4 linked regions of the Tamandua tetradactyla genome follow. The protein of the gene in region 4 purifies or fractionates together with the protein of the main gene of each other region. This does not show direct contact. Links are inferred from orthologs where the notes say so. Each region holds a gene or a part of one and is shown on either strand. Other genes may lie near its edges. The genes, in order: PPP1R12C, YLPM1, PPP1R12B and PPP1CB.

Region 1 (6,986 bases), on a different chromosome or scaffold from region 4:
GCTACGAGGCCAAGAGCATGAAGTCATGGAAACTCGGGCTGTGAAAGGGGGGCCACACGTGCCCTGGGAACGGGATGAACTCTGGGCTCCGTTTATTTCTACCCAGTTGTCATGGCGATGGGGGAGGGGGGCAAGGAGGGAGATGGGCTTTTCCCTTTCAAGGACCTGACCCAGCACAGGCATCCGTGTGAAAGATGCCTGAGACCTGGGCTCCGGGGATCCAAAAATCCAGGCCCCAGCCCTTCCTCCCTCAGGCCAGGCATCCAGGCCCCCAGCCCCTCCTCCCCAAGACCCGGGGGTCCAGGCCCCCAGCCCCTCCTCCCCAAGACCGGGGGGTCCAGGCCCCCAGCCCCTCCCCTTCCAGATCTCCAAGCATTCTGGCCCCCAGTCCCCCAATCCCTAATGTATAAGGCAATAGGCAGTTGGAAGTGTGGGGGGAGGACACCCACCTGGCCAAGTGGTTCACAGACCTACCTGAGGTAGGGGCTGAAACCTGAGAAGGAGAGGGGAACACAGCCGGGGTAGGGCTGATGCTCTGGGGTAGGCCAAGGGAGGATTCAGAACAAAACACACAGCTCAAGACGCAGCAGTCCCTCAGATAAGGGGGCCAACCAACCCAGCCTGCCTGGGACGGAGGGACTTCCTGGGGCTTTCAGGGCCCAAAACAGGACAGTAGGATGAGGTGGTCATCCTACACCCAGATACTGACCCCAACCCCAGCTCCCCACTTGCAGGCATGGGGCCTAAGGCAGGACTGCCCCTGCTCCTCCAGTGCTCCTGCAGGGCTCTGGGGAGTACCTGGATGGGAGATGACCCCCCTCCAAACAGGAGAATGAGGGCAAGGCCAGATCAAGGGGAGAGTCAAAAGGCCCTCTAGGGGAGGTCCCTCTCCCAGGCTTGCCAGGGCTCTGCCTGTAGTAAGGCTGCATTGAGGAAAAGAGACCCTGCTCTGGGTGGAGAAAACTGTTGCAGATATCACTGGTGTCGCGGTAGTGGACTTGGGGAGGAGAGAGGAAAAGGGGGGGTGGCATTTAGGCCACGTGGCAGCAACCTCCAGTGAAAGCCTGCATGCGTCCAATCTCTTGTGGGGTCTTCCACCCATTCAATCTCCCTCCTTCACCAGAGCCTTGCCAGGGAGAGGCTGTTGGCCCCATTCTACAGGTTACAAAATGAGACTCAGAGAGGAAAGCCATTAAGGCAAGGCCACATATCGAGGAGCTGAGATTAGGAATCAGAAACAATCTATTCAAATTCTGCTTTTCCTGAACTGCTCCTCTCCCTGTGAGCTCAAGCATCCCCTACTTCCATCAAGATTTCCTTCCCAGCAACCCCCGGTAATTCCCCAGCCTTCCCCCCAGGGGTCCTGGCACAGAAGGGGCTGGGTACTCTAAGAAATGGATGTCTATTACAGAAAAGGAAGCTGGACCAGAGGGAGGGAGCCTGGGGATGGGGGGATATGGGGCTCTTCTCTGGCCTTTCCTTTCCCAGGTGGCCCCATCAGAGTAGTGGCAGCGTGGAGGGGTCGTTAAAGAGCCCAGAACCAGAGAAAATCCTCAGGGTATGAGGGGGTCCTGGTCTGGCAACACAGGAACCTCAGTGACTTGGAGAGAGTGTAGGGTGGTGGAAGGAAATAACTTATAGAGTTCCAGAACCCTCCAGAAAGTGACAGAACAGAGGCTGGAGAGACTGCACATCTATGGGAAGAAGAAACTGCCTGAATGAAAGAAGAGGTTACCCAAATCCATAGAAAAATAGAAAGAAGGATGACTAGAAAACAGAGGTGGCCCAAAGACAAATAGAGGTGATGCTTGGAGGTTGCCCAGAAAAAGGGTGACAATGCAGGCCTAGCCAAGGGAAGGCGAAACAGAGGGAAAGATGAAGGCTCCTGGAGGAGAAACACTCCAGAAAGCAGGCCCAAGGTAGGAGGTAAGAGGTGGCACAAACCCCAGGAGGGTTTAGAGGAAACCACCTGGATTAGGAGGGGCAGAGAATAGTACGAGGTGATCCAGACAAGACAAAAATATATCAAGGAAACAAGGCGTTACTGAGCGCAGGAAGAAGTGGTTCAGGGAAAAAGCATCCTTACGCAGCAACAGATGGCTGAGACCAAGTTGGAGAAGGAGTGGGAGGGAAGGAGAACCCGGGAGTTGGCACTGAAGGATCTGGGCCTTCCAAAGAGGTGGCCCAGGCCGGAGACTGGGGGGGGTGCAGGAAAGAAGAGAACGCAGCTCAGCGAAAGTGCCCGGCCACGCCTGGAAAGGGGAAGCTGTAGGGCACAGCCGGCCCAAGTATGGTTAGAGAGACTGTACATGCTCAGGAAGAAGGGGTGCGAGCGGAGCTGGAATAAGTAAGTGGTACAGACCCAGGAGACAGGAGGCAGCCTTAGATGACGAAGACTGCCGGCTGGGAGAAGTGGCTCAGGCACAGTCTAGTCAAAGGGGCTCAGGGGTCGGAAAGGCGCCACGACCATAGATGTGGCCCAGACCGAAGTCGCTAGAGACCGCCCGGGTCCAGAGAGGCGCAGCGCAAGGCGGCAAAGAGCAGACCGGCTGGACACGGGGCGCTCGAAGTGGGTCGGATGCCCGAGGCTGGAGAGGGGAGCTCGGGGACCGGGGCAGCACAAGATGGCAAAGCGCTGCAGGGGAAGGCTGGCGAGTGCGCTCGGGGCCGGAAAGGGAGGCGCAGGGCGCTGACCTGGTGCAGGGCACTGATGCCGTCGGCGTTAGTGGAGTCGAGCACCGCGCGGGCGGGCAGCGGGGCGGCGGGGCCGGGCTCGGGGCTGGGGTCCGCGCGCAGCATCAGAAGCGCCTCGTCCAGGTCGCCGCCCGCGCAGGCCGCCAGGAACTCGGCGGCACGCTCGAAGCGGACGGTGCGAGCGCGCCGCTCCCCGGGGCCCGGCTCGGCGCCCGCCCGCGCCCCCCACTGCCGCAGCTGCTCCCGCCTCCGCTCGCGGGCCGCCGCCGCCGACGTCCCGACCCCGGCCCCCGGCCCGTCCTCGCCCGACATCGCGCCGCCCGCCGCCCCGCAGCCCCGCGAGCGGAGCCCCGAACCGCCGCCGCCCGCCCCGGGGGCCGCCGGGAACTGCCGCTCGCCCCGCGCTGCCCGAGGGCTCTCCGGACCACGCCCGGCGGGATGACGTCGCATCGCCGCTCCCAGGGCACGCTGGGAAATGGAGTCCGCGGCCCGTAAAGAGCCAACGGCGATCGCCTGTGGGGCGGGACCCTGGGAGCGCTGGGAAATGGAGTCCGAAAACGGAAGTCTCTAATGGCAATTTCCTGGACTAGCTGTGCCCCGAGGCACACCGGGAAGTCCTCAGCTTAGAGCGGTCGAAAGGAAATCGCCTGATTGAGGAACATGCCCCAGGGACAGCTGGGAAATGGAGTTCACAGGGTGGACTGTGCTCCAGGGCATGCTGGGAAATGTAGTGCGCGGTGTAAACGAGCCAGGTCTCGGGCTCCGGGGCCTGATCGGAAATGTGTAACAACCCGGAAGTTCTGAGATCTATAGGACAAGGTAGTCTACGCCCCTCATCATCTTTCCACATGCTGTTATATAATTTATTTAATTGGGTTTTTTTGTCTGCCCCTCGCCAATAAAGAATAATCCACGAGGGTAAAGGTTTTTGTCTTCCACGTTCACTCTTTTATTCCCAGGACCTAAAACAGAGCCCGATAGTACGGAACGAAGATATTAATTGAATGAATTAAGAAATGGATTCCCAGGTCGTGAGAAAAACCGAGGCATGCTGGGAAATGTAGTCGCAGGGCCACGCCCCTAAAGGCACAGCCGGGGCCAGGACAATCCCCGATTTACTCCCAGCAACTCCCAGCTAATCAGGCTCAAAGACAAGACTGAACAGAGTTCACTATAACAGCACGCTGGGCAATGGAATCAGAAGTCCGGAGTCCTTAGGGCCAACCTCTGGCTCCCACCGGGGAAAGGAGGTCCCCATTGACAGCTCCCCAGGGCCTTTCTTAGGCCGCCCTTCTTCCGCTCCCACCTGGAGCCGTGGAGCATGCTGGGAAATGTAGTCCATGCGCCTGCACCTTCGCAAGCCTTGCTGGGATTTGTAGTCCAGGTTTGGGAGCTGGCGTTCTGGGACCGGGGTGACCTTTATCCGTACCATCTTTTTTTTTTTTACATGGGCAGGCACCAGGAATCGAACCTGGGTCCTCTGGCATGGCAGGCAAGCGTCCTTGCCTGCTAAGCCACCGTGGCCCGCTCTATCCGTACCATCTTTACGATGCAGACCAATGCCTGTTTTGGTGCAACTGCAGAGAAAGAGGGAACATTTTCTTCTTAATTGTCTTTCTGAGGTTACAGAAGACCAGCATGACCAAGCACGAAATAATCCTCACCCTGAATATCCTGCACCGAAATGCAAATCGTGAAGGATGCAGGCACTTTGAAACAGGAGCAGAGACCCATAGAAATCACGCAGAAAGGGGCTGAAATGTAGGCAGGGGCATCAGAGTATCTCCCACCTCCAAGGAATCTAGGAGTAGGGACCCACGCCTAAGTCTTTGGGCCTGCGCAAAGAAATAAACTGCAAATCCCATGAGGTCAAGGGAACGCTGACCATAGATGCGAAGGGGACTGTGGGCCTGGTGGCTCTTGGGATGTGTAGTCCGTGAACCCCACAGTTCCTGAACCTACGCACCAACCCTCTTCACCCAGGGACGCTTAAAAACGGCACGAAGTAAATCTTCGGTGTATTCTTGTGGGTGGTTGTGGTTATGCATGTTGCTATGCATGACTGTCACCCATTATAATTGTGTATATTTGTGATTGTGACTGTGGCTGGGGTAAGTTGATGTTTGTGTAAATATGGCTATGTATATTTTTGTGACTGTTATTGTTTATCTGTGGACAACCCAATTTACAGGACCTGCCCAACCCACACAGTGAACTCTGGTAGGTTCTCCTGCCATAAACTCTATTAGCAACCTTGCATTAACTTCTATCTTTAGACTTCAACGTCTACCAAAAACAAAAATTATATTCCGTTACAATGGTTAAGAATTCTGGCTCTGGTTTCGACAGTCCAAGATTTGAATCTTATCTTTGCCATTTCCTAGCCTTATGACCTGGACCTTGTCTCTTTATCTATACTTCCTGGAGTTGCTGTAATAATTCAAATTAAGTATCTCATAAGTAGAAGAAGTTAGCTGTATATCTGCATCTTCATAGTCCAATTGTTAAAATTCTCTTCTGCCCATTTCTTTTCCACAGTGAAGATATTTCGCCTCTAAGACTTGCTGTTTTCTTGCAGTGCTAGCAGGGGAATTTTGATGTTTAAAGTTGGAACTGCAGATCATGCTCGCTGTTCATGAAAATAACCTCAGAAAGATAATTAAGAAGAAAATGTTCCCTCTTCCTCTGCAGCTGCAGCAAAACAGACACTGATCTGCATCGTAAAGATGGTACGGATAAAGGGCTGAACTGAGCACATTTGTGAAAGTATCAAGTTTATTAATCTGTCCAGTGTGGAGATAGAGGTAAAAATATTATAAGCCAGTTCTTTTTGTTTTTATTACAGAGATTCATTTATTTCACATTTCTATAAGCATATACATAGTAGAGTCACATACAAACATGTACAAACATGGTTTATTTAGTAATATATCCAAAAAAAATTGGAGTCAATGCTTTAAATACTTATCACATTTGAAATATTTGCCTTCAGACAAATTTTCAGACCAAATAAATTTATCTGCTCTCTGCAATCATGTGCTATCCCAGAATCCCAAAATGCTGTATCTTCTTATTTGACTTAATATCCTGTATTTATGATTTTGACAAATGTAAATATGTTTAAATTACATTTCTTTGCATGTGGATACATTATTAAATTATACCACATTAACATATTATCCTGAATTATAAGCAATGTTATGAATGCATAACCCTTCTAAAATTAAACATAGCATTATCAGTTTGCCTTTTAGTTTGCTTGCCAGCTGATAAAAAGTAAATACATGCAGATTTTTGTCTTTATACAGTTACTGTACTTATTTTCTGTAGCTGGAAACAAACATAAAATTTATATTTGCTTTCCTGACATTAAAAAATGAAAATCCCTGAGAGCCTATAAGGGGTTATTATTCAATTCACTGTTACCCCAATTTTTCCCCCAGGCCTTTCTTTCCAGAATCAAGACTAGTTTACTGCGAAATCCAAATGGTAGTTATCACAGGTATGTATGAGGCACTTTGGGCATCTTATACTCTTGAGTAGAACATTTTTGCAGTCAGTTTAATTTATATTTATTCCATATTTTCATATAAAACAGTTTTAAACATTTCATGCTGCATAATGCATAATGTTTCATAAACAAACGTTATCAAAGTATTACTAAATTGTTTTATGCATAATCAAGAAGACTGATGAGAGGAAGTCATAAAGCAACTTTTCTTAGCCTTTTCTATCATAATGGTACCGATCACCTTCATGTAATAAATAAATATCAGGTCAGTTTTCATTTATGTCCGTGGCAGTGTAACAATAAAAAATATTAAACTGCATTCAAAATTACAGCAATTTTTCATTCCTAGTGAATTCAATAGAAAAACAGCCCTAGCGGGTGTTCTACTTTGCTAACTGCCGGAATGTGATATACCAGAAATGGAACAGCTTTTAAAAGGGAACTTTTATTAAGTTGCAAGTTTACAATTCTATGGCCATGAAAATGTCCCAACTAAAGCAAGCCTATAGAAATGTCCATTCTAAGGCACCAACAAGAGGTTACCTGCACTCAAGAAGGCCAGTGAAGTTCAGGGTTTTTCTCTCAAGTGGAAGAGCACATGGCGAACATGGTCAGGGTTTCTCTCTCATCTGGAAAGGCACGTGGTAAGCACGGCATCATCTGCTAGCTTCTTCTCCTGGCTTCCTGTTTTACGAAGCGGCCCAGGAGGCATTTTCCTTCTTAATTTCCAAAGTTCGCTGGCTGGTGGACTCTGCTTCTCATGGCTATGTCATTCTGCTCT
Region 2 (7,887 bases), on a different chromosome or scaffold from region 4:
TTTAAGAGATTGGCATTGGCATAAAAAATATTTATCACAACATATAAAAATATTCTAAGTTTAGAACATGACAACACTTGTACCTATGTCAATAAATCTCTGTGGCACTGTCCTAGGTGCTACAGGGGATAAAAAGATGAGCCAGACAGTCCCTGTGTGTAAGGGACTTAGAATCCGAACAACAGAACAAAACCAAATCAGTAAGTACACTTGTGGCTTCACGGAGACCTTGATATTTGAGGTGTGCCTTGAGGAGATCTACTACAAGGAGGGAGAGGGAGGGTAGATAAAGCTGGGATGAATCCTAGATGGAGGAAGGAGAGCCTAAACAAGCTTACAAGGCCCTTCTTGACCTAGCGCATGCAGACCTCTCAAGCCTCATCTTCCACCAATGTCTTTCCAGCTCTCACCAAAGAATTGGAGGCACTGGGTACTCAAGTAAAAAGAAATTTACTATGGACAAGGATTCAAAGGCAGAAAAGCAAAAGCAGCATTTGTAGTCAGATTAAGGATCATACTGATACTGTTGTCCCCTCTCCTCCATAAAAAGTCAAAACAAACAATCCCAGAAATCTAATTAATTTGTCACTCTAAAGGGTTAGAAACAGTCCAGTAGAGAAGAGGATATAAAATCTCATATTTTGGATTGGACTAAGGTATCTGACAACAAAAACACTGGAAATTCCGCGGGGGGGTGGGGGGAAGGAGCCAGAAATTTTGTCTATATAACAGAGAAATCTGGAGGAAACAACCTGGAGGCATGGTACTAATTCGGCATAAACCAACAGAATCAGATACTTACTGCTTTATTCCGGCACCACAAGTGTTTTCTCCTGATGGTGTGCCAAGCATCATTCCTTAAAACAACTTGCCTCTGTTCTTAATTTCTAATACCAAAGCACTGTAAAATTAGAATACTACATCCTTATCTTTTGTAAATATTTTATATGCGAATCTGGGCTTATTGAAAAGACTATTCACTAATAAAAAATAGTGTATTTAGGTTAGTAATTGCTAAAAGTGTCTTTTTAAAGAAATAATAACACATCGTTTTTCCCCTTTAGTTCTACCTTCTCAATGGAGGAATTCATTTATTATCTCTACCCTGTCAATTTTGATCATTCTGTGGGAAGCATCACTTCAAACAGAGAGAGAAATGGATCTCTTACTACTAAGATTCTAATGAAGAGACATCAACTTTTTTTTTTTTTTTTTTATCTTGGTCTAATTCCAAGGCTGCTACTTTGGAGTTAATGGGAGCAACCATGAAATGCAGCAAAGTGGTCATGTCTTAAAACTATCTTCAAGTGATGTGAGGAAAGGATGTATGGGTCAGTTCCTTAAATGGACCAAGAGCCCCCCCAAAAAGGATCAAGTGTCTAGAGAGACATCTATGTATTGATAGGGCAAGCACATTTGGGGAATAAACTATAAAACTTTCACATGTATCTATAAGCATAATTAGGATGCCTCTAATAAGACATTCATCTTTCATTTGCTGAGGCCTCCTTTTTTGGAAGCTGAGAGCTATCAGTGTATCCTAAAAAGAAAAATTTTTTTTAAAGTTAACTGGGTCATAAGGTTTACATGCATTTCAAGTGTCAGCCCTTTGAGAAGCTTCTTTATGTGGCCTCTCAAAAGGAACTTTTAGCTTAAAATACAATTTTAAAACAAGGCCCTCTGCAACAAATTTAGGAAGGAGACTCAAAATATATCTGAGAACTTGAGCCATTCCACTATTCTGTGGTGTCTAGTAACATCTTTAAACAAGGTTCTTTCTGTAATCCACATTTACCTAATTTAAAAGCGGGGTGGAAGGCTCTAGGAGGATCTTTTAGAGTGTAAATTAGCTTGTCATTGTGTATTGGAATTAGGCTAAGCACTGGTTAAAGTCCTGAGGCCTGATCACTTACGGCCCTCTAGGAGAAAGAAGCGGTTCAAACAGAAGCTTTCTTACCTGTGGAGTCATCGTAGAGGGATCTGGCTCCGGGGTAGCTTGCTGCTGTTCAGAACTCTTGTTCTTGGCCCCACTCTCCAAAGACTCTTGCTGGGCAGTGGTCTTATTCCCAGAAGGGGCAGACGGTGGTGGTGGAGCTAGCAGTTGGGATTTAGAATGACCCTGCGTGGGGCGGGAAGGCGATGCCTGAGACGGGGGCAAGTAGGACTGGGAATGGCTCAAATAGGATTGCGAGGAGGAGGAGGAAGAGTAAGATGGGGTGGGCGCCAAGTATGACTGGGACGGTGGGGACTGAGAAGGGGACGGCTGAGCGGCAGGCAGATAGGGCTGGGACGAGGACGGGGGATAGTACGAGGGTGGCGGCTGAGGTGGGGGCATGTAAGATTGAGATGGGGGCATGTAGGACCCCGGCGGCACAGGCGGAGATTCAGGAGGAGAATCCAGCTCCATGGGAACCAAACCAGGAGGCCCGTCTCGTTGGTGGTGGAGCATCTGGTGTTTGTACTGCTGCTGCTTCTGATAGCTGAGGGCCGGCGCGGGCGGCGGGGGCATCGGCGGTGGCTGCCAGTCCCCGTAGCCGCCCCCCGGCATCACCGGTGGGGGCGGCAGGGGGGGCGGGGGAAGGTGGTGGGGCTGGAGCACGCACTGCATTTGCTTCTGATGCATCTGCTGCAACTGCTGGAGCTGCGCCAGGTGCTGCTCGCGGAAGCTCATGAAGCCGGAGGACGTGGGGGCCGCGGGAGTCGTCGAGCTCGAAAACCCGGGGCCCGGCGAGGCCTCAGGAAGCGCCACCGGAGGCGGAGGCGGGACCGGCGGCGGCGGATAGTGGCTGCTCCCGCCATACCGGCCCCAATTCGGGTACATATCGGAGAAGAAGGCGCAGGGCTCGTCCTGGCGCCGTTACTCGTCGCAACCGACCTCCAGGAGCTGCGGCGGCGGCGACAGCCGGAACTCGCGGCACGTATAGGCCCTAGAGCGTGTAAACGGAGCGCGCCAGTGCGCCGGCGCTACGGAGCAGGGCCCGCGACCGGGAAGGCGGGGACGGGCCTGAGGCTGCTACGCCTGCGCAGTAGCCGCCAAGAGGAGAACAAAGGCGAGCTAGAGCGGCCTTTTGCTTGACGACTTTCGGTTGCCACCTTCCTTAGGGTTCTGGTAATGCAGGCTCGAGTAGAATGTTCTCATAGAACAGAGGAACCATAGAGTCTCACAGCTGAAACGCGTTGGTAGAGATCCTATCGCTCCACGGATTCATTTTTGAATGAAAAAAAAAAAGAGGCTCCATTCACAATAGCAACAATCGCAACAACAACAGAAAAACCATAAAAACAACTAGAAATAATTCTAATTAATTCGAATTATTTCTATATGAAGAAAACTACCGAACATTCATATCAAAGAGGGATAAAATTAGGCTTGAAATAATGGACAGGCTTACCATGGTTGTGAATGAAAAGAGGGAAAATAGTAAAGATGTCAATTCTTCTCAAATTAAAAATTAATAGACAAAGTGATATTGCCATGTTAAAGGTGAACATCATTATTGAAAGGGACTGTATTAGAGCCAGGTATCCCACGGATTAACACTACAGAAATAAGTTCTTGCATGAATTACTTAAAAGGTATGAATCTCTTTTTTTCCCCACAATCACACAGTCACATTGCGAAAGCTATATCACTATACAATCATGTTCAAGAAACATGGCTACTGGAACACAGCTCTACATTTTCAGGCAGTTCCCTCCAGCCTCTCCATTACACCTTAACTAAAAAGGTGATACCTATTTAATGTGTAAGAATAACCTCCAGGATAACCTCTCGACTCTGTTTGGAATCTCTCAGCTATTGACACTTTATTTTGTCTCATTTCACTCTTCCCCCTTTTGGTGGAGAAGGTTTTCTCAATCCCTTGATGCTGAGTCCCAGCTCATTCTAGGATTTCTGTCCCACGGTGCCAGGAGGTCCACACCCCTGGGAGTCATGTTCCACGTAGAGAGAGGGAGGGCAATGAATTTGCTTGTTGTGTTGACTGAGAGAGAGAGAGAGAAGCCATATCTGAGCAACTGAAGAGGTTCTCTTGGGGGTGACTCATAGGCCTAATTTTAAGTAGGCTTAGCCTATCCTTTGTGGGGTTAAGTTTCATATGAACAAGGTATGAATCTTATACAGTGTTTATAATATGGGGTAAAGAGGGAAAACTATTGCATTCTACGGCTATGTTTAACAAGAAGACAGCAACAGTACCACAGCAATACCAGGGGTAAATAATTGGGGGCGGGGGATGGGGAGGACAAGAGTTATGGGGTTTGGATTTTCTGTTTGGTGATGGTGTGTTTATTGATTATTATTCTCTGGGGAGCAATGAAAATTGTCTAAAATTGAGAGTGTTGATTATACCACTAAATGAGGATAATGTGAGACATGGGTTGATGACTTTGGATCTTATACATGATGCCCAGTGGATTAAGGTGGCTAAAGGATACACTGAGTGGTAGAATGGTAAACTGTGGTGTATACATATGTTCAAATATTGAGCTGCTACAGAAAGGAATGAAGTCGTGAAGTATGCAATGATGTGATTGAACCTGTGGGGCATTATGTAATGCAAAATAAGCCAGAAACAAAACTGCAACTATTGTATGATCTCATTTAGAAAATACTTATAAGAAAATTGAGACTAGATTGTAAACTCTGATAGCAGTCACATTTAATCCAGAGCTGCAATTGTTATTTCTAGATTTTGAAAGACTGTGCTATATATGTATAACCAACTTTGAGTACCTGTGTGACATGTAAGACCCAGAGTAGGAGGTCTGCAGGTCTGAAAGTCAGCATTGCCACATACAACTGTTAAAGAAACTGAAAAAGATCAGGCTTCAGTTAGAGATAAGAACGAAGCTGATCACATTGGGACTAAGTTAAATCAGAATAAGGGATAAGGATGACATTGTCTGTATTTTAAAACTTCACCTACTCTGAGACCAAAGGAAGAGAGGTTTATTTTGTCCAAAATCTAAATTTTCTGTAGCACATACTCTAACTCGTCTGGATAGAGCATTTTAACAACCCAAACACATGGAGCCCAGAATGGGAATGAGAGCATGTAATTCTAAATAGCTTAATGTATTGCCCGGACACATCCCAGAGTATGTTGAGCAGATAAGTAAAAAAGTATTGGCAAAGTCCCTTGAAGCATGGAAGAAAAAATATGGAACTATTAAACTTTATCACCGGGGAAATCCTTGATACTGTCTCGAACATTGGGGACTCCCAAGACGATATGCCAAGTCCTTGATCTTGAGGCTTGCTCTTGTGAAGCTTACTTATGTATTTATAGGAGAAGCTAAGCCTATCTATAGTTATGCCCAAGAGTTACTTCCAAAGAACCTGTTTTGTTGCTCAGATGTGGCCTCTCTTTCTCTCTAAGCCCAACTCTGCAAGTTAGATCATTACCCTCCCCACTACATAGGTCATGACATAGAGGGGTGAAAATCTCTGTGGCAACGTGGGATATGATTCCTAGGGATGAGCCCGGCCGTGGTACCATGGGATCGACAATGCCTTTCTGACCAAAAGGGGGGAAAGAATTGTAACAAATAAGGTATGGGTGACTGAGAGTTCAAACAGTCAAGAGGCTACTCTGGAGGCTACTCTAGATATTACTAGGTATTATGGTTTTGCAAATTCCAACCAAAACCATTGCTGTCAACCCTAAAGAACATGTAGGGCTTTATCTGAGACTCTACAAAGGTTCCATGCACTATGATTACTTTCGAACCTCCAGATGGGTTCCTAGACCTGATAAATCCTGAAACCCAGAAGGGCTAGCCTCTCCAAAATATCAAATAGTTCCATCCTCCATCCCATATTATCAACAGCTTTTTCCAACATGAAAAAGCTAGAATGGGCATAGCTTAAATACCCCTAAAGACTGGGAGAAAAATTAAAGAAGGTCGAGTTATAACAGAGAAGATAGTATTTAACAAATGAGTATGACTGCTGAATCATTATATATATATATAATATATATGTTATATTTCACAATAAAAAATGAATAGACAACACAATTCTAACCCAGAAAATCAAACTGAAAACAAATCTGTGAAAGAATGGAGACCTATTTTGAAGACGATGTAATACTCCGCACCAATTCCTGCAGGCATATAAAAAGTGACAGCTACAGGAATAAGAGGGGAAATGGAATTCTTTAGAATATCTCAAAACATTTTTTTTAAAAACCCATGTTGGAGAACCTCAAAGCGAAAGTAAAGATAGCAAAAACCAGATACAAAGATTGTCTAGAATAGATGACCTAGAAGATAATTCTTGCAAAAATTTCTCAGTATAGTACTAAACATAAGCTCCTTCTGTGGTTTGAGTGAATCACTAAGAAACAAAGTTAATCCACACTGGATTCTAACTCTGAGACTATAAAGTGTGTCTGTTGTGCACTCCATAAAAAGACCTTGACCTTCCTTCCATTTTAGTAACCCAGATCCTCACCTCTTAGGAAGTGGATATGAGTGCAGAGTGGTGCATACAGGTATACTTCAGAAGCATGAGTTTCATTCTCAAATAGGCATTTAGTTCTGTTCCTTTTTTAACTTTTTATTGAAGTATAACATATATACTAAAAATGATATTAAGTGTAAAGTTTAGTGAATTTCCGCATACCAATCATGCTGTGTACCCAGCACCCAGGTCAAGGAACAGAAAGTTACTCAACCCAGAAACCTCAGTTAATTGTGTTGTTAATATTTTTCATTGGAATTCTCTTTTGAAAAATATAAAAATAAATGTAATTCACTATAGTAATAGATTAAAGGGGAAGATAATGTGATCATTTTACTAGATGGAGGAAAATAATTCGATACACATCAATATCAATATTTTTTAAAAATCTTAGCACACTAGAAATGAAAAGGAACTTCCTTAATCTAATGAAGAGTATCTATTAAGCATCTATTGTAAACACCACACTTAATGGTGAAAGTTGAAAGCTTCACTGACATCAAGAGCCAAATTCCCACTGTCTTCACATCTATTCAGCATTGTACCACAGGCCCTGTTTGCGCAATAAGGCAAGGAAAAAAAAAGATATAAATATTGGAAAAGAAGAAACAAAACTATTATTATTCATGTATGATACTATGTACATAGAAAATTCAGAATAATTACAGATACATTTTAAGAATAAGATTGCTGGATATAAAATCAATATACAAATCAATATATGTACCTATATACAATTTTTATATACCTTTCATTAAGGAAGTGAAAAAGGGAAGTCACAGAGTAGAAGGAAATATTTTGTAACATGTTTAACCTGCAAAGGATCCATACTTAGATTATATAAAGAAGTCCCATAAATCAATAAGTAAAAACATACAATTTAAAAGAGTAAAATGGGCAATACCTGAAGAGGGATCTCATAGAAAATGAAATCTGAATGGTCAATACATATAAAAGTATTTTCACCTCAGTAGAGTGTAGTAGTAAAAATTAAAACCAAAATGAGATACCAGTACATTTGCAAATTACCAACATGACTAAATTTAAAGACACAATACCAAATGTTGGCAAGGATGTGGAACAAATGCAGTTCTGATACACTGCTGATGGGGGTATAAATTGTGGCAACTACTCTGAGATACCATTTGGCAGTAACTACTAAAATGAAACATACCTTTAGTCTATGACCCAGAATTCCACACCTAGGCCTGTACCTAACAGAAATGCATATATATGTTCACATGTGCAAGGATGTTCATATCAGTAGTATTTGTAATAACCGAAACTTGAAAACAACACTGTATTAGCTAGGGTTCTCTAGAGAAACAGAATCAGCAGGATATATATATGTTGATATAAAATTTATAAAAGTGTCTCACATAACTGGGGGAATGTAGAATCCAAGATCTGTAGGGCAAGCC
Region 3 (7,630 bases), on a different chromosome or scaffold from region 4:
AATGATAATCGACAGTTGGTCAGGCGTCCATGGCCAAAACAAAGAAAAGAAAAGAAGCTAATATCACATGATTCATATCATGCTTGTATAATGGATACTTTAAATAATTCAAATAATTGTAGCACTCTCCATTTTATAGAAGGACAGAAGGAGAATCTGTCATAAAGTAGTTTGTTCAGCGACTGGTTGCTCTAGTCTTACATTTTAAATATAATCTTTTATGTACCTTAAAAGTTCTTCAGATCATGAAGAAACATATTGTAACTCTGTGGAAATTAACCTGTAAAAGAGTTCCTGAGCCAATAAAGGCCGCTGGTCTTGATTCAAACAGAGATGGTTTCCTCAACAGAAAGTAGATTTGACCTTAATTCTTTGAGCAGTTTAACCTTTAGCTGAAATAATTTGGTGTAGTAATGCTACCACGTTTGCAATTCAGCTCACTGTCATGAGTGCAAATGAGAGGGAGAACTGCCTATACTGCATTCGCTAATATAAAAAAGAAATTCCTTAGCTATCACCTCCTTCTATTTCAAGAAGTTATGGCATATAAAGAATTTATAAACTGAGAGAAGTTGCACTTCACAATTTGAGTGGTAGTGAAGAAGAAAAGGCACAAAGAAGGTCAGTCTCAGGAGAAGGGATCAAACAGTAGTTACCTGCTATGGGAAAGAGATTTATCATAAGCGACCTTAAAGATGATGCTTTTCTCAGGTCTTTTTAAAAATGTGTATGGCCCAGGCTCAACTAACAGAGTCACCTTAAAGGAAACAAAGTTACCGAGTTATACCAAGAAAATCATGCTTTGATAGAATAGCTATTCAAAACAGGACATACGGACTAGAAAGATGGACCCTATTTCTCTATCCTCCAATGAGCCATTAAATGATTTCTTCCAAAATTCAGATTTAAATCTCCTTCACATCTCAAATATTTGAAAAAATAAGAACTGATCTTCCCAAAGAGTTCAGAAATTAAAAGTAATAATGTCGCTCTTTTCATTTCTATCATATTTTATTCTGCTGCTTCTTAAGTGGAATGTCAAACTCTGGACTTGAAATCTTAAAAGGATGTACCTAAATGCAACTGCTCTCCTTTCTAACCTTACACAAATAACAATTTATCAGAGCTTCAGTTTCCTCATCTGTAAAATGGGACTAACAATACCACCTGTCCTACCTACTTCCCAGGGTCACTGCTGAGACTCACTTCAGGTAAGACTTAGGAAATAGTTGTTTAAACAGCAAAGCACCATACAAATGTTGGTTGTTACCTTAGGTGGGGCACTGTTATTAGCAGAAAAAAATTGAATATAACTAGGGTGGACAGAGGACAAGGCTATACCGTCTGAAAGAGAAAGGTTGCAAACATGGTAAGGAGTAATCTTAAACTATTAGCTAATATATTTAGGAATGTAGTTTACACGAAGTTGAATTATTAATTAGAAGGGGATTTTCATGTCAACACATTTACTTTGCCCAGACAGCAAAAGAAGACACTAAGAAATATAGAGTGAGTGCCCAGCTCTTGGCTAACCAAAATAACTGATGAAGTTCTATTTGGGAGGGTGGAGTTAGTTATGGCAGTCAGAATATACACAGAACACTGTTGCATAAGGAGAGAGAAGTATTGGTATTACCAACACAAAACTGTCAGGTCATCCACAATCCATATACAGTGGCTATATGTAGGACATGTGATTTCTATAGAGGGCTTTAAGAAAAGAGAAACAGCAAGGTTATTCCATAGGTATCAAATAAATACAAGTGATTCCGTAGGTTGGTTCTCTCGGGAAGTAACACTGCTGGGAAGAAAATAAGACTCCTATAACAATGAGGTTAGGGGTGTTTTAAGAGCTGTATGCTGGAGAAGACACGAACTGTTTTTGAAGTACCACAAATGAGCAAAACGGGATGTGTGGTTTCAGATGCGTGCTTGCCTTAACGCAGTATAGGGATTTACCATTTAAGTTATCCGAGATATTAATTTAAGGGCCATACAGACAAAAAAAATGAATTTTCGGAAAGAGCATCTCACAAATAACACTGACCATGCATCTGGTGGCACGGTGTGTACAGGAACACACACCAACCAGACTGAAGTGAAGATGACTAATCTACAGAGATAACACCAGGCACTAAGTCATCAGTAACCATGACAACATAAGTAGGTGGAGGGAAATACAAACACTGCCCAGGCAGCTGGGTGACATTATTCCTTAAGGTAGGGATTCTGAGGTCGAAAAGACAACTTGATTTGTGGAGAAAGCTGGCCAAGAACAAAACCGACTAGCCCAAAGGGGCCAGTATCCATGCGGGGTGTTTGTGGGTGTGGGGGCTCGGCGCCGACACTAATCCTTTCCAGGGGGTGGCTGGTAGGTGTCACAGGCTCTTCTGTAGGAGACTGGACGCCTATAATACCAAGAAGGGAGTTACCTGGTGCAGGGCTGTCAAGCCGTCCACGTTGACCGTGTTGATGTCGGCGCCTCTTGCCAGAAGCTTTTTCACCTCGTCAGTGTCACCGCTAGAGCAGGCGGCCAGGAAGACAGCACCATCCTCGAAGCGGACCCTCGGGCTCCCGCGACGAGTCTGAGGCTGCCGCCCCGCGCCGCGCCGCTCCGCGGACTCCTGCTCGGTCAGCGAGCCCCGCCAGCGCCGAAGCTGTTCAGCCCGCCGCATTCGCGCCGACTCTGCCCGCTTACCGCCAATGTGCTCCAGCTCCGCCATTGCTCCGGCCTCAGAAGCTGCTGCTGAAACGATCACTACTAGAAGGCTGTTGCTCCTGTTGCCGTTGCCGCCTCCCTCAAAGTGCTTTAGCCGGGAGCAGAAAGCGGAAACCCTCGCGCCGCCATCTTTACTCCTCCTGCCACTAGCACGGCCAGTAATCTCCCTCACCTTCATTACGCAGGCGCTGCCCGGACCTTCGGTGGTCACGGGACTTGTAGTAAGATGCCTGCCCTAAGGGCACTCGGTGGCCCTAAGGGAACTACAAATCCCTGGACGCATCAGAAAGAAAGGCAAGTCCGGCCTGTCACTACGTCGCCACGGGACGCAACGAGGTCACCTTTGCCCTAAAGCTGGACTCGACTCCCGGACCGACGGTAGCCTCTTCCGCTGGGCATTTGGGGAGTTGTAGTTCTTATGTATACTAACCTTAGCTCCCTGATTATCACATCATTCCTTTTAAGTGGTAAAGGAGCAGCAGTTGTCCCTATTATGTAGTGGGGAAAACAGACCGAAAGTACTTGAAAGACACGAATTCTTGTCCTGCTTCTAAATGAAGAACTCTGTTAACATAGTGTGTTAATAAACCCGGAGTGTATGAATCACAGTAAATGTAAATGTGAATGGAGGAGGAGGAGAGGGAGAAGATACACACATATATACACTATTACATATTATACGTAAGCACTGTCATCGTAACACTTATACTAGGCCCAGAAAACATCTTGAAAAAAAGGTGTATCTAAGTATAGTGAAAAGAACATAAGCTTTGGATTCAAAACAACCTGGAATTCACATTTACATAGACAAGTTACTTGATTACTTCAAGTCAGTTTTCTTATGTGTAAAATAGGTATGATAATATTTCACAGGATAGTAATGTGGATCAAATAAGATAATAAATGCAAGGATGTCCAGTACCATCCCTGACACACATCAAATCACACAAAAAAAATATTAATTTACTCCTTTCTCCCTCCTCCTCCTCTACCCTATCCATAGATCTTAAATTCTCAGGAGAAGGAATGGATGTATTGCCTATCATGATTTTTTTCAAATCTACAGAAAGTTACTGTGGAGAATACTAAACTCCTAACACAGGAGGTAGGACATTTTCATATTCACCATGAACTTGATTATAAAATCTGCGTCTGTCCCAATGACTTAAAACTCACAATATACCCCAGGGCCTTAGGCCTGGACATAATATAATGAAATGTGTTATCCGTTATGAAAGAGAACATATACAGTTATTAGCTTCTTTAATTTTTTTCTGTATGCTTGAAATCTTTCATTGAAAATTATTGTACAATTAGAATTGTAAAAGGAAACTAGAGGGAGGCGTAAGCACTTCCCTGACTTTATTACATCATGAGAACATTTGCTTGTGTCTCAGTTTCCCTTGAGGTAAACAGGGAATGATACACTGAGGAAATAAATGAATCAATGAATTGATAGCCTCAAATAAAAAGTGACATATAAATGCAAAATATCATCTTTAATAATACTGTGTCTATCTACAATATGCTTTAGTATGCTTTAGTTGGGTATTCTTTAATTCTTCATAAATACTAATTAAGCCTTACAACATCTTTGTGAACTGTGAATTACATAAAAATCATCAAGGACTAATAATATATGTATTATACTTTAGATAGCCTCATTCTCCTTATCCGCATGGATTTGTTCACAGTCACTCTACAACTGGTCATGCCGCATAATTTATTGCAATTAAACATTCTTCATGAGATTTACTTTATAACTTGTCAACATGGCACCTCCTATTACAACTCAGCCTCTTGCCGTTAATTAAAAGCGCCCAGAAGGGTGGGCCATGGTAGTTCAGCAGGTAGAGTTCCTGCCTGCCATGCCAGAGACTCAGGTTTGATTCCTGGTGCCTGCCTATGCAAAAAAAAAAAAAAAAAAAAAAGTGCCCAGAAGCTCTCAAACAGAATTCACTCTTAAGGACAGAATAAATATTGATATTAAATCAGCCAGAAACGAATACCCAGGTAGAAATCCAATCCTTTTCAAGAAACCGTTATTAACTGAACTACCAGTCTGGAGAGGAAGATTGAGAAGGGGCAAGGTTTAGTATAACACAAATTGCTAAAATCTCAGGAAGCACACCTGATAATAATCCATGTGTACCATTTTAATATTCTGTTTCTGGTACATAGTAGCTGGTCAAAAATATGTATAATTAAACTATATATTTTATTGGCATACTAGCTTTCTAATAAGGCTTCTTAAACTGAGGCAAATTTTCAGGGATCAGTAATGTTGCATTTCCTTTGACTGTATTCTTTTTGCATTCAGAATCGGGAAAGAAAACATATCTTGTTACAATTGCATAAATAAGCAAAAATTGGCCAAGTTCTAGTTAAATCCTTACTCGCCCTAGAGGTTTTAGCTTAAATTTCAACAGGAAGAATTTAACTTAAATTCCAGTAAGTACGTCCTAACTGTACTATTGTATTTGCTTTATTTTTATTTTCTGAACTGGCAAGGGTATAAAACCCACCATGAAGATTTTAAAGAAAAATATAGGCTACTAAGTACCTTGGATAATTTAAGCAAATACCTAGCTGAAAGGAAAGAAATAGACTATAAAACCAGTGTATTTGATTATCAGTGTATCTGATTCTTGAAAGTAGTAATTATAATAATCTACTTAAACAGGCTAAGTTTATTTAAAACTATGCCACAAAAAACTAAAGTCATCTGCCTATGACTAAATTTTCCAAATTAAAATCATATCAGTTTTTTCCTGACATTACTTTTCCAAACCAGAGCCCTCTGACACTAAATTTATACAATCAGCTCATTAAAAACAAACAATGAGGTTTAAATTTCCTACATAAATACTCAATTTCAAAGGAGAAAAAAGTATACACGAGTAAATCTTGACAGGCTATGGACAAATATACTTTTTAAACTTTTAAATGAAGTAGATAAACCAACTATGATGCATTCTTTTATAAAGTGAAGAAAATGTTACAAAATAATTTCCCACACCCACACTTTGAAAAATATATTATAACTTTAAAATACTCCCTTTTTAAAAGCAATGGCACATGTACATAGTTTATGAAAATCTTTCAGCCCAGCCTATATTTCCACCAGTTTACATACCTCCCTCTGGTGGACAAATGGAAACTATACACTTAGCGCTACAGTTTTGTTTTTTTTTTTCCAACCCTTTCAGTTTGGTTGCCAAAACTATAGGTATTTGCTTGTTTTATCATACCATCTTTCCTTTCTTCCAGACTCAATCCTGTCTCTGCATTTTTTTAACAGCCATTTTTAAGACCCATTTCTCAGAGAACCACCCAAGGAAGTAATCCATATCAGTTCAAAGTCAAAACTATAATGCAGGTACCATTACAGTTGGGATAGGAGAGAAAATAAGGGAAGGCTTGAAGACATTAAAACAGAGAATAACAGTAAAATAAGTAAGTCCAGAATTATGACAAAAAAACAGTTTACTACAATGAGTACATACTAATAATAAAAGCAAAACCCCTGCATCTGATTGTAAATTAGACCAAACAATCACAGAATTCTTTATGCTTGTAATTCATAAACTACTTTAGTTGGTCATTTCTACAACAAATGAGAGGTACCCTAGGACGGAATCATGACAGAATCCTGGTCAATGTATCCACATACAACGCAGAGGTCACGAGTACCACTTGCTCCTTAACTCTAATTTGGACTGAATGTAGAAATCAATGCAGAGGCCAAAATGATGCTGGTTTATAAACTTAGGGAAAGACTGGCCATTACTCCTTTACCCCACTGTTCCAAAGCCACACAATGAGATGAGAGCTGTGAGATGAAATTTTTTCCCCATCTATAGCATTTCCAAGGTTAATCAAGTTCCAGCCAGGTCCTTTAGATTCAAGTCAGGCTTGGGCCATCTCTGGGCTCTCATACAACAATCACCTCTCAGAGACCCAACTCTCAGAAGTCAGGGCTGGCTTAGCTAAAAACAGTACTTCCTTAGTTAGGAAATACCACACTTTTAAGTCAGAAGAGGACTTATGGGTCATCTATTCCAAACTTCCACCCAATACAAAGAACGCTTATGCACATGATTACCTAATTTCCATTGGAACATAGCCAGTGATGGAGAATTCACTATCTCCCAAGTCTACATGTTTTGTTTAGTTTTAATTGATAGAATCTTTTAGTGAGCTACATTTGCCATCCCTTTAACTTTCATCTATTGGTTTTAGATGTGTTCACTGAGGAATGAAAATCTTACATGAAAAAGAATATTTAAAATAAAGATAGCTATCATTATTTTCCTTCTCCAGATTAAATATTTCTGGTTCTTTTCATTATTCCTCCTACACTGTGTCACCCATCCTTTGCCCAGGATAAACCCTTGCACCCCTTGTTCAAGATAAATTCTTAACTTGTTAAACGTCCCTCTTGAGGAGGCATAGTCCAAATAAAATTTTCATCCATTTGTGTCTGTATTCCCTAATAGATTCATTGAAGATTGTTAGAAAAGCAAAAAGTAATGTGAGATGATATAGAAACAAGCTCAAATTTTAAACTATTGCCAACCATCCACATTTTAAAATGCACCCATGAGTACATTAAAGGGAAGTAATGGCGTTAGAGAAGAAAGTTATCAAGCCAAAGTCATTACCATCCCGAGGTCTTTTTTCCCCCAAAGACGGGGAGTGGTGGGTGGAGGTAGGGGAGTTCCCAAAGGTCACTGATCTTCTCTTTGGGGAAGCTCAAACTAGAAAATCGAATTTGAACCTTTGAACTAGGACAATTCCATTCCCATTTTAACAATCCAAAAGTGGGCTTACCTCACAGGGTTGTGAGGATCAGTGATGATGCATATAAAAGCCCTCTGAAAACTCTAAAATGATACAAATGTAAGTTAT
Region 4 (7,144 bases):
TCACTTTCCCTTTGTGCAATCCAGTTTCCTTTGGATGCCCCTTGTTCTTAATATGTGTACACTTCGAGATTCAGGAAGTGGTACTCAGCTGCACAAGCTGGTTTATACAGACCCAGGTTCCAACTCAATCAAAATATCTGTTCCTCCTGCAACTGATCAAGATTAGGGTCATATCTGTGGTTTACCTCTCACAAACCCATAGGCCCTCAACAAGTATTCTGTATCCACTACTGCTGCCTTTCGTCTTAGCTTTTCCACTCTCAGTTTTCTTTTGTCCTATTCTTCTCTGTACTCATTTTTAAATTTATCCCACTGCATGAATTTATGTTTCCTTGAATCCCTTTATCTGGAATAAAGTAGGGCACAAACAAATATACTTTTACCAAACAAGATAGCGTGATGAGGCACCATTTCTTCATCCTTATCTACCTCAAAGTAAACTGATAGTAAAGAGTCTGTGAAAACTACTTTAGACAGGACCTACACCACAGCTTATTGCCTGTTCTCCTATCTTCTGTGTAAGTGCACAATCTCAACACTGAAATGAAGGAGAGGGAGCTAGAAAAAAAAAAGGTAGAGTTCTGTAAATCAGTTGGACCATTATAGAGCACTTGTTTAAACAATGCTTTATTTTTCCCCCCAAATTGACAGTTTCTTCTCTCCAAGTTTTGATATAGCACATGCATGTTTAAGCGTCTCAGTTCACATTCAATGAAAGAATAATGTTGTAAAGGTGAAGAGTGCAGGTTCTAAATGAATGTCAACATTGCAAGATGTGGAAGATGGGATGGTATAGGGGGAAAAGTATAATCAATGCATATAGGGTCTATAATTAACAGTAATGCTGTGATATGCTTCCATTGAATGTAGCAAGGTCAGTATGTCAAGGCTAGGTGTCAATAAGCAGGGGATAAGGGGCAGGGGTGTGGATTCTTTGTGGAAGAAAAGGAAATTTCCTCATATAGGTTGTAGTGGTGAGTGCGTGGTTATGTGACTCTACCGAAACCACTAACTTTTTACTTAGGTTGGAGTACATGATGTATGAGCAAAACTATTTAAAAATGAAGAGAGACATACAGTGCTGGAGAAAATGCGGAGAGAGCGCTGTACCTACTCACTGCTGGTAGGGAAGTAGAATGGTGGATCCCCTTGGAGGGCAGTGTGGTGGCTCCACAGGAGGCTAGGGGTGGGGTTGCCATAGGAGCCCGCAACCTGGCAGTTACATGTATACTTGGAGGAACTGAGAGTGGGGACAAGAATGGATATTTGCACACTGGTTTTTATGGGGCAGTGTTCCAAATTCGCAATGAATAGAGGTGGCCTAAGGGTACATTGACTGAGGAATGGAAGGGGGAACTGTGGTGGATACATACAATGGACTACTGAGTGGCTGCAAGAAGGAATCAAGTCATTAGACATGCACCTATGTGAATAAACCCGTAAGGACTTATGTTGAATGAAATGTCAGAAACAAAAAGACAAAATTGTCATTCCTCAATCACACAGACTAACTATAATGTACAAATTCAGAGAATTGAAGTCCAGAGCATGAGTTATCATGTTGGAGCATTTTGTAAAGGGTCGTAGATCATAAGTTCTTATAGCAGTCACATATATTCAGGAGTTGTAACTGTTATTTCTAAATGCTGAGATACTGAGCTATTTGTGTATAAACTAGTTGTTTCCTGAAACTTCGGGTATGTATGTGACATCTGAGACTCTGAGTTAGAGCTCTGAAGCTATGAAAGTCAGCATTATCCCATACAGCAACTATTTTAAGAGTTGAAAAAGTAATCACACTTCAACTAGAGATGTGAATGAAGCTGACTTGGACAGGACTAAAGTAAATCAGAATACAGGGTAAAGGATGAAATCATCCATATTTTAAAACTTCAACTTCTGTATGAGATCAAAGGAAGGAATGTTTATTTGGTGCAAAATTTATATTTTGGGTAGCACGTTATCTAATTTAACTTGTATGAGCAGTCTATTTGAACACCATAATTACATGGAATCTTGAATAGTGCGTAAGATCCTGTTGGTTTGTACAGGTTAGTATAATGCCGCGATATATTTGAGAGTAACTTGGGCAGAAAATGAAAAAGTATTTGCAAAGTCCCCTTAGGGGACTGGGGAGAAAGAAGGAAATAGTCAACGTCCTCATCTGGGGAATACCTTATATTTTCTCAAGCAGTGGGCACAACCAATTCAATACGCTGAGCCCTCAGTCTTGGGGTTCGCCCCTATTAAACTTATTTCTGCAAAGGAGAAGCTAAGCTTACTTATAATTATGCCTAAGAGTCACCGCAGAGAACTTCTTTTGCTGCTCAAATGTGGCCTCTGTCTAAGCCAACTCGGCAGGTGAACTCACTGCCCTCCCCATTACGTGGGATGTGATTCCCAGAGGTATACATTTCCTTTTGACAACATAGGACAGGACTCCTGGGATGAGCCGAGACCAGCATCATGGGGTTGAGAAAGTCTTCTTGACCAAAAGGGGGAAGAGAAATGAGACAAAATAAAGTTTCAGTGGCTGAGAGATTTCAGGCAGAGCAGAGAGGTCATCCTGGAGGTTATTCTTATGCAGTATATAGATAACTCTTTCCAGTTTTTTGGTGTGTTGGAATAGCTAGAGAGAACTACCTGAAACTGTTGAACTGTAATCCAAGAGCCTTGAATCTTGAAGATGACTGTATAACTACAGAGCTTTTAATGTGTGACTGTGTGAATGTGAAAATAAGTAATAGGGGGTTGGGGAATATGGGATATTTTGGCTGTTCTTTTTCACTTTTATTCTTTTTCTTTTGGAGTAATGAAACTGTTCAAAAATCGATTGCGATGATGAATGCACAGTTATATAGTGATACCGTGAATCACTGGTTGTACAATTTGGATGATTATATGGTATGCAAACACATATATCAGTAAAATTGCATTTTTTTAAAAAAAGGGTGCAGGTTCTGTCGCTAGATTCCTGGGTTTGAATCCCAGATCTGCCATTTACTACTGTGATTTGAGTAGACGTATTTAACCATTTTGTGTCTCAATGAATCCTATCCACAAAAATAGAAATAATAATAATACCTACCTCATGAGGTTGTTGCAAAAATTAAATGCCATAGCAAGTGTGTAACACTTAAAACAGTGCCCAGTACATGCAAGGACCTCAATAAATGTTAGGTATTATAGTGACATATGGGTGGAAGAAGTATGGTCACGACCTTGTAGAGTCTCCCTGAGTTTTTGGAAAAACAGCTGAGGACAGGTAAAGGCCTTTGGTCTGGCCACCTCCCGGAACAGGCAGAAAACTCTGGCTTGCCTAGATTCTTTGGGCGGCTACTCTCCCTCTCGCGCATCATACATGTGGTGGAAAGAACAGCTGGGCAACCAGCTGAGCCCCCTCCTTTCTCCTTCTCCTTCACATTCTCTGCGCCAGATACTCGGTGGGTGCTGCCATGACAAATGCTTATTTTTTGCCCTCTAGGATCCCACGGTCGAGTGTGAGATAAATGTATAAACAATTACAACGTTAAGAAAAGTAAACAATATAATAGAGGCACAAACACAAAATATTGTGGTAAAATAGCATCCACGGGGCAGATGGAGATGGAAGATATGTGAAAGCTCCGCGTAAAAGGCATGTAAAGTATAATTATTGCTGATCCTTTCGAGGCTCACTTCAATTCATTCATCCAGGGACACTTGGGGACCTGGCCTTGTGAACTGTGTGCAATGTCAAACGTTTCCAGCAGACCACCTCTTCTTGCTACCCAAATGCGCAAACCAGGTTTCAAGCATGGGTAAGTGGGGCCTACGTTCCTCGGTTAACGGAACTGCGAGGACTTGCTTGCAAAATCATGGAATTAAGTTGAAATAAAGAAGAGCGAGGCGGAAAGGGTACACACCAACTGCGCTGCAGAAGGCCCTGAGCCCGAAGGCGATGAGGGGGAAAGGGCCGCCCCGCTGACGCCGGCTCTGCGTAACGGGGGCCTCCTCGGCGCAGCAAATCCGGAAACCCCACAGGACGCCTGCACGACCGCGGCGAGTCGGCGCAGTGGAAGTGGAGGGAAAGGGCGACGCGTCTGCGCGAAGGCGGCGGCGCCGGCGGGAGCTGGGGGCGGTGGGTGAACTCAGTGCGACTGCGCAGAGGCCTGGGCCGCGCGGAACGCGGCAGTGCGCCTGCGCGGGGGCTGCGTGGCGCGGTGGCGGGGAAGTGCCGCGCGGAGCGGCGCTGGTGAGCTCTGCGGCGTTGGGCGGTGCCGAAGGGGAGGTGGAGGCTCGGGGTTGACGCGGCCCGGTGCGTGCGGCCCCGCTTGTTTATTTATTGATTTATCCCCCGTTCCTCCGAGTGTGCGCGCGCTCGCACGACTTGGTGGGGAGGGGGTGGGGGGAGGGCCCGGGAGAAGGGGGGAGTCGGGCCTGGGGTCGAAACGCCGTGTGGCTTGTAGGTGAGAGAAGGCCGAGCCGTCGCCGCACCCTCCGCCACCGAGAAGCCCTTGTTCCCGCTGCCGGGAGGGAGAGCCTGGTGCCGACAAAATGGCGGACGGGGAGCTGAACGTGGACAGCCTCATCACCCGATTGCTGGAGGGTGAGCGCGGGGCCGGGCCGGCGGGCTGCGGGGGGGCCCTCCTCGATCCTCTCTTCCCGAAGTCGGAGGCAGCGGGGCGGACGGGCAGAGGCAGCGGGGAGGGCGCAGGAGGGTACTTCTCCCCGCGGACCCTCGGGGACGGAGGGCGCCGCTCCGGGGCGGCGGGGAGCTGCTGCTGCTCGCGGTGGGGACCCTTTCCAAGGAGGGAGCGAGGGTGCGTGTGGTGTGCGCTCTATGTCCCTGGAACGCGCGTTTCTTCTCGGTTTTCTTTGTGCCTTGGCCTTTGGCTCCCTCACATTGTTGTTCGGGGTGAATTTTATATACTTAAAAAAAAAAACTCCGTAGTGTGATTGTTTAAGCTGCTGTTCTGCATTTTTGTATGATGCTGGAGAAGGAACTCGGCTAGGAAGAGGGTGGTATTAGCGCGAGTTGAATTCTACCGTTTATTATTTAGCTTTAAAAAAAAAAAAAGGGAAGTAAAATCTTTGACGAAGTGGAAGACCTCCCGCAAGAAATCTGAAATATGTACATAGGTATGTTGAAGGGATTGGTTAGACTTTGCGAATTTAACAGGTTTGAGCAGAATTTAATTTAGGCACATAGTTAGGAGAGGTCTGTTGAAAAGCCTCCCTTTTAAGTTTAAGCAACGTTTGAAGTTTCCGGGCCCTTTGCGTTTTTATTGAAAATTTTAGATTGATGTGTGAGGGAAGGGCACAGAGGCCAGGAATTAAACATACTGACTCATTACAGGATATTATTCAAAGTTAATCGCAATCTTCGGCCAATGAGTCCCTTTACCCTTAGATTCGCATTGCTTTCTGGGTGTGTAGAAAAGTTCTAAGTAAGCCTTTTTTAAAATTTAGAGTCCTTTTTGTTCGATAGTCAAATTATTGTCTGTGAATTATTTGCTTTCACATTATCTGAAGATTATTGTTTACAGCAGTGAAGCAATATGTACTTAAATTTGGAAAATCATGAAGATTATTCAGCTAATGTATTGGTATCTGAAACAACATCAGTTCTGTGTGTACTTAATGTGTAACTAAATACAGTGTATTTGCTCCAGATGTGAAAGCCTTCGAAGAGTCTGACTCAATATGAATAGGAAGCAAAGTTTTACCAGAAACTCTTTCTTACCTTTTCCTTTACTAGTAAGTTATTCCTGGGAGGCCCCCTGGTGCCTGCAGTCAGTGTTCACTGCTTGAATTTTGTGGACTTTTAACATTTTGTTGGGTTTTAACTGTAAGAAATTTGTTTTTAGAAAGATTGTATAGTTTTTGTACCTGTAAATTATTCTGAGAGAGAAATATAGTTATTTTAGAACTTTAGTATCTCGTTAACCTTTGGGGAGGTTTTGACATATTACCATTTTTATACGAAATTTTTTTTGAATCTGCAAATTTCATTGAGATATATGTATATATTTACATACCATATATTCTATCCAAAGTATACAGTCGTCTCACAGTATCCTCACTTAGTTGTACAGTCATCATTACTCTCAATTTTAGACAATTTCCATTGCAACAAAGAGAAAAATAACAGACACACACACAAAGAAAACTCAAAACACCCCATATCCCTTACCACCACCCCCAACTATTTAACCCTAGTATTGGTGTGGTTATGTGTTACTGTTGATAAAAATTATTAAGATATAACTGCTTATATAGAGTCCATACTATGCAGTAGTTAATTTTTTCCCAATTACCACTCTGTTATTAACTCTGCAAAGATCTTTTTTTATCCTTTTTTTTACTCGTCTATCAGTATCGTAAATAAAAGGAGCATCAGACACAAGATTTTCACACTCAGTCACATTGCGTAAGCTGTATCATTATACATTCATCTTTAAGAATATATTTGAAATTTTGCTTGTAAATGTAAAAAAAAATTAAGCTGGTGTTTGTATTGCAGCTTCTTCACCTTTCTCTTCCATACATTTATATACGGTAGACCTATGCTTTTAAAAATGTACTGTGTGGAACCTTTTAAGTTGAACCCACTTTTTATGATTATACATACTTAGGAAACTTAGTAGATCGTCAAGGTTATTGGAAAAAAGATTTGGTCGGGAAAGTAAGTGATTCTATTTGGTTTTGTGTATGCAAATTAAACATTTTGGTTCCGTTTGGAATGGAAACAGTCTTTTTTTCCACACCTTCGTGTGTGTGTGTGTGTGTGTGTGTGTGTGTGTGTGTGTGTGTGTGTGTGTGTGTAAGATTTCTCATCTCAGACACATTTTTCCCTTTATTGACTTACTCTGTGCCAGACCAGGAATCCAAAGATAAAACACAGTCTCCTCCCTCTAAGAGCTCCCAGGCTAAGAAGGATTATCTGGCTTTTTTCACTCTCCGTTCTGTTCGTATATTCAGCACATTTCCACCAGTAAAGAGTTTTTATTCCTTGTTTCTTAACCCCCGGGGGCGGGGGTGAAGCATATTTTGTTTGACAGTACCTCCCTGAGATTCTTAAAATTCTCCAGATTTCCCCTGCCAATCTTCCCATCCAAAAACTTGTCTGAAGCAGATCTGGTTTTTCTAATGAATAATTGTT

The links.
Region 1: the proteins of PPP1CB (region 4) and PPP1R12C purify together in Homo sapiens (affinity purification with mass spectrometry; 3 studies listed by BioGRID and IntAct, with this or other methods). This does not show direct contact. The link is inferred for Tamandua tetradactyla from reciprocal best matches to the Homo sapiens genes PPP1CB and PPP1R12C.
Region 2: the proteins of PPP1CB (region 4) and YLPM1 purify together in Homo sapiens (affinity purification with mass spectrometry; 3 studies listed by BioGRID and IntAct, with this or other methods). This does not show direct contact. The link is inferred for Tamandua tetradactyla from reciprocal best matches to the Homo sapiens genes PPP1CB and YLPM1.
Region 3: the proteins of PPP1CB (region 4) and PPP1R12B purify together in Homo sapiens (affinity purification with mass spectrometry; 4 studies listed by BioGRID and IntAct, with this or other methods). This does not show direct contact. The link is inferred for Tamandua tetradactyla from reciprocal best matches to the Homo sapiens genes PPP1CB and PPP1R12B.

Annotation. Positions count from the first base shown.
Region 1 is NC_135342.1:4,568,120-4,575,105, reverse strand, and holds the start of PPP1R12C (protein phosphatase 1 regulatory subunit 12C), read right to left. Parts: upstream 3,012-6,986; 5' UTR 3,007-3,011; coding exon 2,695-3,006; intron 1-2,694. UniProt on the Homo sapiens protein: Regulates myosin phosphatase activity.
Region 2 is NC_135338.1:33,829,839-33,837,725, reverse strand, and holds the start of YLPM1 (YLP motif-containing protein 1), read right to left. Parts: upstream 3,014-7,887; 5' UTR 2,822-3,013; coding exon 1,958-2,821; intron 1-1,957. UniProt on the Homo sapiens protein: Plays a role in the reduction of telomerase activity during differentiation of embryonic stem cells by binding to the core promoter of TERT and controlling its down-regulation.
Region 3 is NC_135330.1:59,417,404-59,425,033, reverse strand, and holds the start of PPP1R12B (protein phosphatase 1 regulatory subunit 12B), read right to left. Parts: upstream 3,011-7,630; 5' UTR 2,898-3,010; coding exon 2,433-2,897; intron 1-2,432. UniProt on the Homo sapiens protein: Regulates myosin phosphatase activity. Augments Ca(2+) sensitivity of the contractile apparatus.
Region 4 is NC_135329.1:12,889,592-12,896,735, forward strand, and holds the start of PPP1CB (serine/threonine-protein phosphatase PP1-beta catalytic subunit), read left to right. Parts: upstream 1-4,138; 5' UTR 4,139-4,234; exon of another isoform or gene 4,235-4,297; intron 4,298-4,448; 5' UTR 4,449-4,536; coding exon 4,537-4,588; intron 4,589-7,144. UniProt on the Homo sapiens protein: Protein phosphatase that associates with over 200 regulatory proteins to form highly specific holoenzymes which dephosphorylate hundreds of biological targets.